Arabidopsis thaliana: one gene and its partners. The protein of the gene in region 2 interacts with the protein of the main gene of each other region in a pairwise test. Each region holds a gene or a part of one and is shown on either strand. Other genes may lie near its edges. The genes, in order: NIA2, BUD2, TH9 and TRX1.

Region 1 (5,881 bases), on a different chromosome or scaffold from region 2:
CATTTTTCTGTCGACATTATTTAAGTTCTTGAAGTTATGAATCGTTGATATATGATTTTATTTAGATATATATATATATATATATCGTAACATTTTCTATCGGTTTAATAGCACACTATTTTTATATAGATATGATGTTCCTTTTGGATAACTTAGAACATAACTTGTGATGCTGTATTAAAATTCTAATCCTGTAATGGAGAAGAGTTTGGATGCTAGAAACATACTTTATAAACATGTACAATTTTAATAAGAACAAATTGAATATTAACTGAAAACTCTAAAGATTCTCAAACGATTGATATATTGTTAAACTAATCACCCAAAAAGGAAGAGTCTTCTAAATTACAAGTTAATAAAACAAATGAAAAAAGTAAATTCACTCCCCCTAATCTTAAATCATATATGTGGTGAAGATTAATATAGGAACTAATGGACGAGTTTGGTTTCAACTTGCACAACAGGAAACTACTTCGCTTTGGCTTTATTCTCTTTGAAAATGATTATTGGTGTCTAATAGCTGTAGAATTTTTATTTTATTTTTTAACGACAAAGACATATGAAAAAATGAACATATTCAAATTGATATTCATAATGTGAAGTAAACGCAGAAAATTCAATGTACGATAACCTAACCACAAAAATTTCTGAAATTACTTTTTGTATATTATTGTGAAAAAAAATATCGATCGTGAATACAACGAACACATTATATTTCCAAATCCAAGACTTTAAAGAACCAACATTATATACAAACAAATCCCTCAATACTTATTTAGAATCTATCATAACACTAGGCTTTTTGACGACTTAACGTTTTGACTTTGAAATATCTTGGCTTTAGACTAGAATATCAAGAAATCCTCCTTGATGTTATATTGCATCTTCTCCAAATTCGGCTGAACCGCAAACTGAATCATCGGTGGTGGTCCGCAAGCCATGGCAAGGGCTGAGCCATCTAATCCATCAGGGATATGTTCTCGCATAATCGCCTCGGAAATAAACCCGGTACTGTATGCCCAACCTTCCTTAGCTGATTCCACTACGTACCAAACCTTTAACCGGTCCGGGTATTGCTCTGCCCAACCATCCAGTTCCTCCCTTAGGAGAATATCTTCCTCGGTCCGGTTAGCATAAATGACGTACATTTCAGTCTCATCCTCTGGATCCTTGAGAATGGCTTGGATAATTTGGTAAACCGGAGTTATTCCGGTTCCACCTGCCAACATTGCCAATTTATCAGCAAACTTTGGTTTACCGTGAACCGTGAAACTACCCTTGCCGAGATACTCAACGTGACCCAATGGTCCTTTAATCTCCAAAGTTGACCCTATAGGCAAAGAGTCTAGGTACTGAGACATGAGCCCGCCGTTAGGGAATCTTGGGTGGACACCGCCAAAGTAAATCTTGACCACGAGCTCGAAGTAGCCAACCACATCAACGGTGCTGCTTGGTGTGTAAGCTCTGAGGCAGAGCTTGTCATTGATGGTGGCGCAAAGGAAAATGTGCTTACCAACCGGTAAGCCTAGAACCATATCCTCAACCGGTAAAGCAAACCGGAATTTACGAACATCATGAGAAATGGAAGTCTTTTCGACGAGTTGAACCGGGACTTTAGCCCGGGGATTAACCAAAGCGAGGTTCCTAACCGGAGTCGCCTCTCCAATGGGAGCCAACAGCGAGAACACGGCGGATGAACCGTGAACCGAGTTGTTAGGCGAGGAAGAGTCAGAGGAATAACCAGTGGTGATGAGCTCACCGATACGGTAATCCTCAAGCATCTTCTTGGCTTTATCCGAGTGAATGGCTTCAAACTCCTCCGTACAATCCGTACCAGCATTGATCAAGATTGAATCCGAACCACCCGGGTGATCCATAAGGAATCGTGTACAATCATAGATATGTCCATGGACAATGATCCAGCAAGAGTCAGCCGAATTATGCTTCTTGACCTCGGACATCGAGTACATCTTCGCAGTTGTGTTCATAAACGGCGTCGAGACAGACTTCTTTAGACTAGGAGGCGCGTCAGCCGATTTTTCGAGGTGACGTTCCTTCGCCATCCATCCACCAGATTCATTACCAGGAAGCGTTGGATGCTCGAACACAATCCCAATCTCTCCCTTGTGTGGCTTGCACACGTTAGTCTTCACTCTAAACCAGCAGTTATTCATCATCCCCATGAGATTCCATATCATTTTCTCGGGCTGCGTGTTGAGAGTCTCGTCCCATGCACGAACAGCAATCTCTTTGGCACTAAGCAAGTCCAAAACCTCAACCTCAAGTGACCAAAAACACCAACACCAGAACTTCCCATACTTGTTTGGCTTCTCTTGATGGTCAAGTGCACATACGTTCCATGTCTCTCCACCATCTACCGTGACCTCCACACGGGTCACTTTTTTTCCACCTCCTGTTTTTTTTTGTATAAAGATTATTGTTACTATTAAATTAAATCATCCTATGAAATAACGTATTTATTAAATTAAAATGTTAAAAGGACAAGTACCGGAATATGCGTAACCCTTTAAAGTATAAGGTCTTTGGGTTGTGAAAGCGTTGATGGGAAGAATCTCCTCGTGACATGGCGTCGTAATCACGGAGTTTATGTTTAGCTCGTTGATTATGTACTCTGGCTTATACCACCAACCTAAAACAAAACCATTGAATTTGAATTTATGTAAGTCACAGAAGCTGACATCATCCACCAACATTAGTTTTTCATTTTTTAATATGATTTCTGTTTTTGTTTTTCTCCTATAGGTTCGGAGACTTTTTAAACATATCAATTAGTTCATCTTAATGAGATTTATTGAAGCAAAAAGATTTTATGTACCTTCTTCGTCGGCGAGTTCGGCGTCTACCAAAGAAGGTAAAACTCTGTTGTCCTTGAAATGGTAGAAATTGTCGGATTCTTTAGTTGTGACAATGATTCGTTTCAACCATTTAACCATCCGGCCACCAATGAAACCGGGGATGATGATCCGAACCGGAAAACCGTGGTCTGGTGTTAGATACTCTCCGTTTTGCATATAAGCCAAAATGATGTCTCTTGATGGATCCATGGCATATTCCTTCTTGATGCTCGTTCCGTATTTGGAACCAGCAGTTCCGGCACCGCCCGGAAGATCCTCCGACCCTTCGAAGCAGACGTTGAGAGCGCCGCCTTTTCGGCTAAAGATCCCGCAGCGACGCAGTACGTCGCAGAGAGGGACACCACGCCACACGGAGGTGGAAACTCCGGCGGATCCCCAGTTGAATCCCTTTGACTTCTTCACCATGTTCTGTTCCTTACGGCGGTTCCCCGCGCAGACTAGCGTCGCGGCGAACTCGCGGTAAGCAAACTCGGAGACGAGCTGGTCCATGGTGAATTTCATGGGCCGTTTGACGAATCCGGTCACCTCGACCGTCCATTCGGCCCATTGGGCTTTAGGGACGTGGCCGTGGTTACGAACGTAGTGCAACGGGACAGGGGTGATAAACCCGTGGTGCATTAAACGGTTAAGAGGCGCCTCGGAGTTGAAGGGATGTTTCCCTGTGAGACGTACCATGGAAGGGTTACGCTCGATCCAGCTATCAGCCGTGTATTCGTCCCTCGGGTCCAAAACGGACGGTTCAAGCTCGGCGTTGGATTTTCTTATCATCTCCTTGTAGTACACGGCGTTGCTGTTGTGTGTCTCGTTCTCGTCTTCGCTCGACACGTCTTCGTCATCGTCATGAACCTTGGCTGGTTTCAAGAACACGGTTTGGTTGGTGGTTTGGTTCTGGTGCGCCTTAGGGGAATCGGACCGGCCTGGAACGGGAGGTTTGTAAGAACGAACCACGCCGTTCAAACCTGGCTCGAGACGAGCGTATTGGCGATTATCTACAGAGGCCGCCATGTTGGAAAGTGTATAATCGTAAATAATGTAGAAAGCAGAGCCTTTTTCTCTCTCTATCTCTCTCTTGTGAGTGAGATGAGATCTGAGGACGAAAATGCATCGTTGGTGGAGATGAAGTTATATAGGAGAGAGCCTAGTGGTATGCTTTTAGGAAGTATCGTGCCGAATCACACGTATGGGACCATTTGTGACTTTTTAATTTTTTTCTTACACACTTACTATTAATTTTTTCTTATGACTTGACTTAATTAAATAAACCATCCATTTGTTTGACAAAAATAAACGATCATAGTTATTCAATAAGCTTAAAATGATCATTTTTGTCCCTATTTGTTATAAAACAAATGTGAATTGTTGGAGTAGTTTTGTAAATACTTTTAACGTCTCGGAAACATGTATAGATTTTTTTTTGTCAACTAAGAAATGATGACAATTGAATAATATATTATTATCTATCATTGGTTATTTCCTGTAATACAATATAAAAATGTGATCAAAACATTTTCCTTTTTATTTTAGTCGAATTTGTTTTACTAAAAAATATGTTTTCTTATTCGTGACACAAAGCCGTATTTATTTTTAATGGAAAAATAACGATAAAAGATGACAAAATAATTAAGAGCAATAAAATTAGTAATACAAAAATCGTGGTGATAATATTTTCATACTATTAATTTTAATAGTTTTTGTGATCGGTAACTATTAAAACCGTATATATATATATATATATATATATATATATATATATATATATATATATTTTGTAAACCGTATATTTTTTACCAGTAAATTAAAGAATTATCAATGTGTTAACATAGGAAGAACGTTCCTTTTATTATTGAGATTTGATAATCCTTTTACCCCTGGTTCTAGTTTAGAAGTTTATCAATGTTCTTATATCCTTCAGTTAAACATAGGAACAACGTTCCTTTTATTCTTGAGATTTGATAAATCAATTAAACATATTATCAGAAAAAATCTAATAATCATACAATATTTATTTTCTTATTAAACGTTATTTTCAGTAATATTTTCTTATTAAACTGTTTTTTAGTAATATTTTTTTTTGATAAAATTAACAGATGTGATTTTCAGCAATATTGATGAGATATTAATTATTGAGTAATCTAATTTTTTGTATACATTATTATAACCTAAAATAGTTCCTTGAATCATCTAAAAGTTTAAAATACCTATGTATGAATGTTGGAAAATGAAAAAAAAAAAAAAACTGAATGATGGAAAATGATCACGTTCATCTTTTTCCTTAAAATAACTACAAAATTATTTCTCTTTTTGATCAAGATGCAACATTACAGCCACCTATATATTAGTATTACTGTTATTATTGTTTTTCTTCGGAAAGAATGGCGGTGACTAATCAAAACCGACGGAGCCACGGGTTCAGCAGATTCAGTGGGTAAATCTTTCTTTATTTAAGACTTTTTTTTGTTGAAAATTTCATTGAGTAAATATTGAATATTGATTTTCTTGTGAACTTCTAATTTTGGGTAACCAATATACATCTTTATTTTTTTTATATATATATATATATATATACTTCTTCTGTTATAATATATAAGATATTTCACTAAAAAGACAAAGTTTAAGATATTAATTAATATTTTTACATTAAAAAACATATTTTGATATTTAATTAAAGAGAGTTTGCTAATGAATTTTTTACTGCAGAATAAAAATTTATCTTTTGAGATGTGAGATGAAGATTAAATCTGTGAAAGAAAAAAAAGTAAAAAAGACAGTTTAAGTTTAAATCATATGGTACTATTTATATTATGTTTAAGTTTTATACTTTAAAAAGGAACATGAAAATTTAGTTGATTTCAAGTTTCCACTTTATTTTTTTTTATGCTAACCTTTCATGTTAAAGTGTCAAACAATGAAAACTAAATTTGTTGCGAAGACTATTACTATCCATACAACAATTTCTATTTCATAGCACAATTTCTTAAATAAGACTACTTGCATATAGCAGTTTC
Region 2 (3,967 bases):
AACCTTAAAATCTATATCAAGAAAGGGAGAAAGCCGATGAACAAAAACAAAACCCATTTTTACAAGATACAAGTTATGGTCACCAACAAGTAGACAAAAAGAGAACAAGTAGAGAAAAAATGCTGCGTCTAATTATGTCTTTTGAAAATGAAATTAGATATTAACATATACGTGCATATATACGAAGAAAATAATTTAAAGTTTTATGTGCATTAGCGATTGTTTGACACACAAGCCACTAAAATTGATGATTCTTGCAGACACTTGTTCCATTGCCCTTTCAAGATCTTTTGTGTCTTGTCCACGATATAGTATGTGTGTGTGTGGCTAATCAGATATATTATTTAATATGGGCTACGTAAAGATGTGTCATGTGTACTTTGTTTTGGCATGATGAGTGATACATAACGGGTGATTGGAACCAATGTACGAGAGCCTCGTAACCGAATTGTAAACACGGTTTCTTTTTTCAGTTTTTTTTTTTTTTTTTTTGCTTAATTAATCGGTAAGTTAAGGTCTATCGGTACTATTTGTTTATGTGTTGTATTTCGTGTGCCAAAACATTTTTGAACCTTCCATTATAAGCTTTGTAACACAAATATTGGCATCCATGGAATAACAAAGAATATGGTATTACATTGAGATATATATTGACAAGTTCATTCGATCAACCAAATCGTTTCTTCTACTTGTGAAAGTAGATTTAACTCTTTGAAATTCTTTCTTCAAGAATTTCGTATCTGTCAATTTGTTTGTTCTTGTACACAAGCTTTTAGTTAATGTTTTACATTTTAAATAAACTCCATGGAATAATATATCCTGAAGTCCTAGTTGATAGCATAGCCTAAACAAGCCTTTCCACTTCTAGTGTCGATCCTGCGATAGTTTTTGTACGAGAGCCTAAAGATAGTCAAAAGATATACATTTCACATAACTATTAAACCAATTATCTTAATTATATGCTTTATCAGCTTCAAAACCAACTACTACAATATATAAGGAAAAATACCCCTCCCCTTGAAATTTTTGGATGGCATAAACACCACTAAAAAAGGTAATGCCATCAATTAGTGTCACCAGTCTTTTAGGAATATGATTGGTAGCTTTTGAAGCGAGACATTTTATGGCTAACATTTGGAATGACTAATGTCTTTGAGATTATTATATGTATATAATTTTACTGATAACATAATTATATGGAATCCAAAATTCACATTAACTAATCCATATTATGGTGAGACAATTTGGAACGAAAAGTTCGTACCGAACCGTTTTATATAATTTATGTAAACAATATTCTTCAAAATTAGCTATTTTGAGTTTAAGATTTAAAAGAAAATCTTATGAAAAAAACATATCTTAATTCAGTAAGTAGAATGATCCGAAATAAATACTTTGCACAATTTCATAGTTCTTAAAATAAATAATAGTCAAAGGAGTTAAACCATGTTTTATTATTAAGGCGTCAATCCTACATTTTTTGTTGTTCATGATTTTGCATTTCTGCGATATTATCAAATCGAACTAACATATCACCTGCAAGAAAGATTTGATTATAAAAAGTAATAGAAAAAAACATCCAAATTTGCATGCGCTTAACCACCCATGAAACTCCTTCTCATTACAGAACAACACAAGAATACAGAACAGAATCAGACGCACACTAACTAGATCTCTCACATACACAGATACATACACGCATACATACAAAACAAAACACAAACTCTCATCATCTTTCTCGTTCATTATGCCTACAATCATGATTCTTGGTCTCTTAACCCGCATGCTCCTTCTTCTCTATCCTCCAAACCCTCTCCTATAAATACCACTTCTCTCCCACTAATCACCACTACCTCTCTCTTCTCTCTCTACTCACACACAAACACATTTCCTTTGCCGTGTTCTTCTTGCAACTTCCTCTGTTCTGTTTCATAACATCTTCTTCTGATCTTTGCAATGGCAGTGTCTGGGTTCGAGGGTTTCGAGAAAAGACTCGAACTTCGGTTCTTCGACGATGACAAACCAATCACCAAAAACCCTATGGGACTCCGTCTAATAGACTTCGAATCTTTAGACCAAGTCTTAAACGAAGTGCAGTGCACAGTGGTCTCCGCCGTAGCGAATCGTAGCTTCGACGCTTACGTTCTCTCAGAGTCAAGCCTCTTTGTATACCCAACCAAAATCATCATCAAAACATGTGGAACCACGCAACTCCTCAAATCAATCCGACCGTTGATCCATCTCGCACGTAACCTCGGCCTCACGTTACGCGCGTGTCGCTACTCGCGTGGCAGCTTCATCTTCCCTAAAGCTCAGCCTTTCCCTTACACAAGCTTCAAAGACGAAGTCATCGTCGTCGAAGAAAGCCTCCCAAAATCTCTCTGTTACCGCAAAGCCTCTGTTATGACGCCTTCTAATAACCCATCACGTGCTTGGCACGTGTTCACCGCAAGCGCTGACGTGGAATCCGACGAACATGTCGTCGTAGTCGAAGTATGTATGACGGAGCTGGACCGAGTCAACGCTCGAAGCTTCTTTAAACGGAAAGGTGACGAGAAAAACAACAGCGATTCCGCCGGGAAAGAGATGACGCGGCTCAGTGGTATCGATAACATAAACGCAAACGCTTATATATGCGATTTCGCGTTTGATCCTTGCGGTTACTCGATGAACGGCGTCGACGGTGACCGTTACTCAACTATCCACGTAACGCCTGAAGACGGTTTTAGCTACGCGAGCTTCGAGTGTGGTTTGTCTCTCTACGACAACGGTCACGAAGATATCTCTGAGGTGTTAAGCCGGGCCATTGATGTTTTCCGTCCAAGTGACGTCTCGATCGCCACCACTTACGGCGGCGAAGATTACAACCACGAGGTGACTAAGCGCGTGGAGCGTGTGTTAGCTAAGAAGCTTGATCTTAAGTGTCGGAGCCGTCTTATGGATGAGTTTCCAGGCTCCGGAACCGTCGTTTATCAGTCCTTCACGCCTCGTCGGAAATAGGCTTCGCCGGAGGAGTAAAAAAGGAGAAAATGTTTTAATTAGGTTTCAATTAGCTTAAAGGAGAAAAAAGAAACAGGTAATGACGTGGAGGGAAATGATTGGTTGACTTGGGTTTAAGGAGGATATTAAGTGGGAACATATGATCATGCACCCCACTTTGCACTTGTGGCAATGTCACGCCTAAGCATTTTTGAGGTTCAGTGTTGTAGAATTTTAGTGGGGGATGGTAAAAATGGTTTGGTCTGTTTTTTTTTTGTCTTTCTTTTATTTCTTCTTATGTTTGTTTTTTATATTTTCGATTTAAATTATCTTAAATCTATATATCAGACTGTTGATATACGGTTTTAATCGTTCTTACTTTATATGGTTACAAATTCATTCACCTTAAAAGTAAACTAATTATGATGTGAAAAATATTGTAAAACAATTTCAAAAGATCCTTAGCTACTGTTCGATATGTTTTGTCGTTACCAAACATATCTCAAGTCAGAATTAGCACCACAATAATATTGCCGGTCGACGACACTTGTATTTCAAGTTTAAAATCCGTTAAAATTATAGTTAGCAAACCTTCCATCATCTTTTACCTTTACACATTTGTAGTATTTAGTGTCGTATCATTTTGTTGCTAGTCTCCATCACATCTACTACTACTACTACTACACTGAACAAGATCAAGCATAGAACAATCAAGAATGAAATAAAATTTTAAAATTATGCATAACTTGAAACTGTGACCCTAAAAACTTGGATAATATTAAGGACTTGGCGGCTCATGCTCTTTTTTTAGGCAAATGCTTTTTTTTCTCCATGTGTGTGTTTGACATTTAACCATAAGAAGTCAAAGAATGAATAAATTTTAAAATCTATTACTACATACTAAAAAAATTAAAATCCAATGAATCTAAAACTCATAAGGCAAAAAAAGTAAGGTTACACTTTTTGTGGCTGACCAATTAAAAGTATT
Region 3 (3,945 bases), on a different chromosome or scaffold from region 2:
CTGACTTGTATTCTCCGACTATAAAAAAGAAGTAGAGGGTTTTAGGCTTTTCACGAATCTCTTCTCTCTTTTGTAGTGGCCTTGAAAAAAAGATTCAATCTCCTGTTGTGGTATGTTTCTTTTGATCCATCTTTCCTTTATGTTTTCTGTTTCAACTACTTCTTAGGGTTTATCATCACTTACGTTACGTATGTATTGTTTTATTCGTCTTCCTCTATGATATGTTATGTTCTTAGTTGAATTCCTTAATACTCATTGTGTGTTGCTTATCTCGTCCGCAGGTTTTCGAGTCTAAAAGCATGGCTTCTAAGAGGATTTCAAGGGAACTGAGGGATATGCAGAGACATCCTCCAGCAAACTGTAGCGCAGGTAATCTCCCTTTTCTTGGCTGATTTTGACTGATAGATTCACACTAAAAACACTTTTAGGGTTTGATATATGTCACACTTTTATTTCATCAATCCACATTATATGTTTCTGAGTTTTTTTTGGTAACGCTATGATTTGTTAGACTCTCTTTGGTTCTGTTATATATATGTACTCTGCATGAACCTTTTTTTTTTTTTTTTTTGTATTCGAGAAAACTCGTTAAACCTTTGCCTGGTACGATTAAGAATATCCAGAGGTTTAGCTTGCTTTTATTTCAAGTGTCTCCTTTTGTACTTCTTATTTATTCTGCCAATTTGTCTCTGTTCTATAAGAAGTATCACTTGATCATGCAGGTTTTATTGTCTTTTTCGATGAATAAATGGGTCTGATTGCAACGTCTTTCTTATAGGTCCTGTGGCTGAGGAGGACATATTCCATTGGCAAGCAACTATCATGGGACCGCATGACAGTCCGTATTCCGGAGGCGTATTTACGGTTTCTATTGATTTCTCTTCGGATTATCCTTTCAAGCCACCAAAGGTGTTGTGTTTTTTCAACACTAATTTAATCATCTGATGTGTAATGAAAATCTATGATCATCAGGCTTATTAGCGAGTGTACGATTTTGCAGGTGAATTTCAAGACTAAGGTGTACCACCCAAACATCGACAGCAAAGGAAGCATTTGCCTTGACATATTGAAAGAGCAATGGAGTCCTGCTCCTACCACATCCAAGGTTTGAGTTTTGTCTCTCTACTACTATTTTTTACCAAAGTCATGTTCTGTAAAAAAAAAACTAGTATATTGGTGAACTTTGTGCGAGTGATATTGATGGTGTGGAATTATATAGGTTTTGTTGTCGATTTGCTCGCTGCTGACTGACCCGAACCCAAATGATCCTCTTGTGCCGGAGATAGCTCATCTCTACAAGGTAGATAAATCAAAATACGAGTCAACTGCACAAAAATGGACACAGAAGTACGCGATGGGATGATAAGACAAAGGTGGTCTAGACAAGGAAAGGATGTCTTACTTGGCAATGGAAATAGAAAACTGAAGAAAAAACATTTACCTTTTCTGTTTTTTGGTTAGTTTTAGCAATGGCTGCTATGATGTGACGATCATAATCGAAAGACTTTTTTAGCTGCTCTTTTTTACTTGTCTTCAGTGCTCTGATCATATTCTTATTTTTCCAATTCCATTTTAATTGGAAACTGCTATTGCAACAACCTCGTAAATTTTTTTCTTTTTTAAACTATAGAATCGTTTTAAGTCTTTACCTAAATCAATAATCTTTAATCCTCTTTAGTATTTTTTTTTTGAGCATCAACTAAACACTATGGCAAAGTCTTCAACCGTATATAATAAAGTCAATTCTTTAATAAACAATGGTACTGCAGAATTTGAGTTGCCGACAGAAAAAAAAAAGTACCGCAAATCTAAAGAATCTGTTGAAAGTACGGTTAATAATAAACAAAACAGATTTTTTATTATTTACACGAATTGATAGCTAATAAAGAGTGAGAAAAAAAACAAAAAAAAAGTGGAATGGACAGAGAGGAGGAGGGTAGAGTGGTAAATTTAGTAAGAAGGGGAAATTGGGTCTGACGCGGTCATAATGGGAGGGAGCTTCTTCTCCAATCAACGATTCTTCTAATTTGGTCTCTTCCCTCAAACACGACGACGGCGTTTTCTTTCATTTCTTCTCTCGACAATCCCTAACATCACCAGAAGAACACAAACACAATTCTTTTTAGGTACAACACAAATTCTCTTCTTCCTTCTTCGCTCTAAAATTTTCAACACATATTTTTTATGATGCTTTTAAGCGTCTGATCGTATCCGATCTCTCTTAAAGGTCCGTTTTTGCCTTTTCAGATTCTCTTAATCCGTTTCTTCTTCTCAATTTTCGTTTGTTCGTTATTAATCCTTTTCGCAATTCGATTAGCTGAAAGTTTCCCCCTTTTTTCTCCAGGGAATTGCAAAAAAAAAATCGATTTTCTATTTTCAGGCAAATTCGAATTTCCAGGACATTCAAATGGGTAGCTGCGTCTCTAAGGTATTGAAAGAAACGAAACCCTTTTGTTTGGTTTTTGGTTTTTGTCGGATTCTGTATTTGTTGGTTATGCGATGATAATGTAAAAAAATCCCTTCTTGTTTTGCTACATAGGGTAAAGGAGACGATGATTCCGTCCATAACGTCGAGTTTTCCGGTGGCAATGTTCATCTGATTACAACAAAAGAGAGTTGGGATGACAAATTAGCTGAAGCTGATCGTGATGGCAAAATCGTAATTTTTCCCTTTTTGATATTTCTCTTCTCTCATGTAGTGTTGTGTTTGTTTCTCAATCTCATGCTAATATCTTCTCTTCTCTTGAAACAGGTGGTTGCAAACTTCAGTGCGACATGGTGTGGTCCGTGTAAAATTGTGGCACCATTTTTCATCGAGCTCTCAGAGAAACATTCTTCTCTTATGTTCCTTCTTGTAGATGTTGATGAACTCAGCGTAAGTAACTCATACTCTGTATACCCATACATAGTTTCCCTTGTCTCTCTTTCAAAATCTTAAAATATGTTTGTGTGACTTTGTGCAGGATTTTAGCTCATCATGGGACATTAAGGCGACACCAACCTTCTTCTTCCTAAAGAATGGACAACAAATAGGCAAGCTTGTTGGAGCAAACAAACCGGAGCTACAGAAGAAGGTTACTTCTATCATTGATTCTGTGCCTGAAAGTCCTCAACGGCCTTGACTCTTGACTCTCGCAGCCTTGTGTTCTGAGGTCTGTTCTTGTGTCTTCTTCTTGACGGTGATCAATTGTTGTAATATGCAAAAAAAAAGGTGTGAAAGGTCACCAAAAACACTTGAGTTAGATCATCCTGTTTGATATAATAATATGCATCTTTTTCATTCAAATTACTCATTATATTATTGAATCCTCGCAATCTAAGTGTGCAAAGCAATAAGGCTCTCTCTAATTTCATTTCTTCTTTATTATCATTCTTTCACTAATGAGGAAACAATCATCCAATGCCTTTGTTTCTTGATGACATTTTGAATTTCGTTGCCACCATTGATTTCTCCTTTGTATACTTTCACAAATCTCTCAAGCAGAGATCGGGGTGAGGAGCCTGAAGTGGCCTTATGGCTAGGGATAGGGCTTGGACCGTTCCTAAACCAGATAGAACCTTAACATTACCATGACTTGATGCTAAAATATAGACCAAAAGTAAAACATACATTTGCCATCGTTAAGTTAGTCTTCTTGTTATAGTTAGTTTTTTATTATTCTGTAATTAGTCTGAGTGGATGCTAAAATATTACAAATAATTCTTCTTCAAAACAAAACCGCGAGTGAGTGTATCGATCCTAACATCTAGAGAGAGCTTTCGGCAATGGATAAGCTGCCAAGAAGAAATGATATTTAGGTAAGTTTGGCGTTTATTCAAGTCTTCACAATTAAAGATTCAGAAGAACCACTTTGACTTTGACTATGACTTGAACTTTACTCAGAGTGAAACTCGAATAATAAAACGAATGGGTCAACGGTCAATATTAGCTGCTCTGGTTCAATA
Region 4 (3,696 bases), on a different chromosome or scaffold from region 2:
GAGCATCAAAATAGCCAAATCGCGTTTCCTCATCTTTGCCCTAACCGCAAGCAGATGTATCAATGGCAGATTTGCATCAGTAGGTAGCAGCAATCTCCTTACCAGAGCAGAGAGAACGATGAAGAATAGTCGACAACTTCAAAACTACGCCGTATAGATATATCAGACGTTTAATAGAATAACATCCTGACGTTTTTGTTCTCTTTGACCGAACGTTATGTCGTTTATACTACTATCCTTGAAACGGTGAAGATATCCGAGAGAGGATTAGTTTAAACAAGGAGCCAAACACGTTCTTTAGTGTCATCGTTCGTAAAATTGGGGCCGAGAGAGAAACAAAAATTTCCCAGGAAAAAGGCAGTGATTGAAGATTGTATTAGATCCGATTAATCGTCTTCCTGGTCGCTTGAACTGGTATGTATGCTTTGATCTATTCTTTATGAAAAAGTTTCGGAATCAATGTCTATGAAGATGCTTTGATGTTGACTCGTTGCTAGTTGGATTATGTATCTTTAATGGCGTTTTCTGGATCCCTCGTTCGCCATGTTCGTATGGATTCATCGTTTAGTGTTTAAGACTCGCGATTCGTAGAACTACGAGAATTGTTTACTTAGCTTTTCTATGTAGTGGTCGTAGTGTTTTAGCACAATGTGTTGATTGAATATCAATTAGACGACTCTTGTTTCAAGTTTATCCAGTAATCAATGAATTGGTAGTAGCTTGGTATATGCAAAAATCCAAAGCAGCACAGGGCTAGAAGGAGCTGCTTATCGCTTCTGGAAGGCTCAGTCCCAACTCGGACTTCCATGATGGGATGATATGCATTTATGTTTTGGGTTCGATGTAAATGATATGCATCAGCTATTCGAGTATTAAGAACAACTTTTACATATCAAATCCAAGTGCTTTATTGAATCTTACTTACATGGGGATCACTGGACGTGTTGTTTTTTGCTTACAGAGAATCAAATAATTGAGCTCAACTGGATTTGGATATGGGAGAGACAGCAACAGATTCAGAACATCGCATGATGATCGGATTATCGGATCCTATGAAAATTGATCCCAAAAGAGACCGGTTTCCATGCTGCATTGTTTGGACACCTCTTCCCTTCATTTCATGGCTGGTTCCCTTCATCGGCCACGTCGGTATCTGCAGAGAAGACGGTGTCATCCTCGACTTTGCAGGACCTAATTTTGTCTGTGTTGATAATTTTGCATTTGGAGCTGTTTCTCGATATATTCAAATCAACAAAGAAATGGTAACGTTTGCAAGATGCCGGCTTTCATTTTCAACCTTGATACAAAGTAACAATTTATTCATATTGGCCTTGGATTTGAATCAGGAGTCATCTCGTTCTTCCAGTTCTGGTATGTTCAATGGTGAGAGGAGATATGAGCAAGAAGAAGATAGTCATGAGAAAGAGCCAACATGGGATGATGCACTGAGAAAAAGCACGCAAGAGTACCAACATCACTCATATAACATACTCACATGCAACTGTCATTCCTTTGTAGCCAACAACCTGAACCGTCTATCTATAAAGTCAGGCGGATGGAACGTGGTGAATCTCGCGACACTAGTGCTTTTCAAGGGACGTTGGGTGAACAAAACGGCTATAGTAAAGTCCTTGTTGCCTCCACTCATAGTCTACACTATAGGAATCTTACTCGGTGGTTGGACTTTCATTGCCTCCTGCTCGATTCTAGTGGTTTTGCTTACCGGGTGGTTCATCATTGGAACGTATTGTTTCAAGAAACTGATTCAGCTGTAGATTTGAATCATAATGTACAAATGATGTCTACAAAATGTTTTTTACTTTTTACGATGGATATTTACAACTTTGCTTTGTGTGTGGTTAATTTGTTACAAGTAAAACTTTGAGGAGTAAAAGTGTGAATATTTATGATTTGGGTAAAGAAGGAAAGTAGCAATTGGTGGGTGTAATTATGGGAAACAAAATCACGCGTCGAATAAAGTAGAAGAGAAAAACTATTGACGGGCAAAATTGGGATTGGTAGGTGACGCGCATGCTAAGTAATTGAAAAAAAAAAAACACAAGAGGAGAAGAAACAGAACAGAGAAGAAAAAGAGAGAAGATGGCTTCGGAAGAAGGACAAGTGATCGCCTGCCACACCGTTGAGACATGGAACGAGCAGCTTCAGAAGGCTAATGAATCCAAAACTCTTGTAATCTTCTTCTCCCAAATTTCTTGATTTCATTTTGTTTTTGATGAGATATGGATTTGTTATTATTCTTGATTTGGTTTGTTTTGGGTTGCGTTTTTAAATAGAGTCTTTGATCTCTCATACTTAAGCAATGTAATGATATGATTCTTTTTTGTATGAATTCATGTTTGAATTTTATGACAATTCTTGGATCTGCATTACCATAGATTAGATCCTAGGATTGGTAGGAGATCATAATGACTTATATTACGAGTCATGTTGATAATTCTATGAAACTAAGGGATCCCTAGAAAAATGTTTACGCTGAAGATAGATGTAATGTTCACAATTCTTACGATATGATATGTTTTTAGTGTAAATGGTTTTTCAATGAAAATGATTCATGATTGGTTATATTGTTGAAGGTGGTGGTTGATTTCACGGCTTCTTGGTGTGGACCATGTCGTTTCATCGCTCCATTCTTTGCTGATTTGGCTAAGAAACTTCCTAACGTGCTTTTCCTCAAGGTTGATACTGATGAATTGAAGGTACATTCACCAACATTTTTCCCTTCTTCTTGAGAGATATTGTTTTCTTCGATCACAATCTCTTTTATGGTTTTGTTGGAACAGTCGGTGGCAAGTGATTGGGCGATACAGGCGATGCCAACCTTCATGTTTTTGAAGGAAGGGAAGATTTTGGACAAAGTTGTTGGAGCCAAGAAAGATGAGCTTCAGTCTACCATTGCCAAACACTTGGCTTAAGCTTTCCACTCTTATATATCTCTTAAGATGTTGGATTAATTGTTCTATTACTCTTGACATGTTATAACTTGTTCCCCTTTGTTATGGTTCCGGTCTATAATCTCATCTGACTATTTGAAGCTGAAAATTGCTTTGCTTATCCAGTAAATCAATTACTTTGTGACTTCAAAGTATATTTGAAAACTAATTTCTACATTATGTCCTCAAAAAAAAAAAAAATATTATGCAATGGACGTGAATAAAGAGAGAGCATTTTCTTAAAGGTGATGCTTATTCAGAAGGTCATTTGTGTTCTGAAAACGGTTCGAATATTGGACAAGTGAAGCTAGGAATTGATCATTGGCAATGTTTCGATACGGATGGCAAATATGTACAAATGAAGGATTCTGTTTCTTTCTATGTAGTATTAAATTGCAAAAGGATTTACACAAATAATAAGCTATTAAAAACAAAATCCATTTGCTACTAAGAAATATTATCAGAACGTTTAATGGAAACTCAATCTGATAAAAAAAAAATCATTTCGTCTAAGAAAAGAGAGAAATCCCTCCACGAAATCATTTTGAAAGATGCTACCGAAGCAATTGTTTATCCATAGATATCTGGTAAATAATGCACCTTAACACAAAAATAATGCAAAGCTTTGAAACATTCCATTATGTTATGGTTTTTATAATTAAGAACCCTAGCATCAATGAATACCATCGGATTCATACAAAAAACACCAAAAAGAAACACTGAGAATATCTCTTCTGCTTATAAA

Evidence for each region.
Region 1: the proteins of BUD2 (region 2) and NIA2 interact in binary tests that used the Arabidopsis thaliana proteins (3 or more experiments, as listed by UniProt).
Region 3: the proteins of BUD2 (region 2) and TH9 interact in binary tests that used the Arabidopsis thaliana proteins (3 or more experiments, as listed by UniProt).
Region 4: the proteins of BUD2 (region 2) and TRX1 interact in binary tests that used the Arabidopsis thaliana proteins (3 or more experiments, as listed by UniProt).

The regions. Positions count from the first base shown.
Region 1 is NC_003070.9:14,156,617-14,162,497, reverse strand, and holds NIA2 (nitrate reductase 2), read right to left. Parts: upstream 4,047-5,881; 5' UTR 3,882-4,046; coding exon 2,837-3,881; intron 2,651-2,836; coding exon 2,510-2,650; intron 2,414-2,509; coding exon 846-2,413; 3' UTR 560-845; downstream 1-559. UniProt on the Arabidopsis thaliana protein: Nitrate reductase is a key enzyme involved in the first step of nitrate assimilation in plants, fungi and bacteria.
Region 2 is NC_003076.8:6,311,205-6,315,171, reverse strand, and holds BUD2 (Adenosylmethionine decarboxylase family protein), read left to right. Parts: upstream 1-1,799; 5' UTR 1,800-1,956; coding exon 1,957-3,000; 3' UTR 3,001-3,447; downstream 3,448-3,967. Other genes in the region: AT5G18933 (uncharacterized protein), read right to left, coding at 828-900, 1,010-1,045, 1,476-1,536, 1,725-1,785. UniProt on the Arabidopsis thaliana protein: Essential for biosynthesis of the polyamines spermidine and spermine. Essential for polyamine homeostasis, and normal plant embryogenesis, growth and development.
Region 3 is NC_003074.8:2,643,183-2,647,127, forward strand, and holds TH9 (thioredoxin H-type 9), read left to right. Parts: upstream 1-1,895; 5' UTR 1,896-2,227; exon of another isoform or gene 2,228-2,344; 5' UTR 2,345-2,407; coding exon 2,408-2,428; intron 2,429-2,539; coding exon 2,540-2,659; intron 2,660-2,752; coding exon 2,753-2,875; intron 2,876-2,963; coding exon 2,964-3,122; 3' UTR 3,123-3,422; downstream 3,423-3,945. Other genes in the region: UBC12 (ubiquitin-conjugating enzyme 12), read left to right, coding at 300-369, 779-909, 1,001-1,105, 1,220-1,363. UniProt on the Arabidopsis thaliana protein: Probable thiol-disulfide oxidoreductase that may play a role in intercellular communication due to its ability to move from cell to cell.
Region 4 is NC_003074.8:18,950,360-18,954,055, reverse strand, and holds TRX1 (thioredoxin H-type 1), read left to right. Parts: upstream 1-1,946; 5' UTR 1,947-2,100; coding exon 2,101-2,190; intron 2,191-2,594; coding exon 2,595-2,717; intron 2,718-2,801; coding exon 2,802-2,933; 3' UTR 2,934-3,138; downstream 3,139-3,696. Other genes in the region: AT3G51050 (FG-GAP repeat-containing protein), read right to left, coding at 1-33; RTH (RTE1-homolog), read left to right, coding at 996-1,262, 1,347-1,775. UniProt on the Arabidopsis thaliana protein: Thiol-disulfide oxidoreductase involved in the redox regulation of a number of cytosolic enzymes. Activates the cytosolic malate dehydrogenase (MDH) probably by reducing an interchain disulfide bond of the inactive MDH homodimer.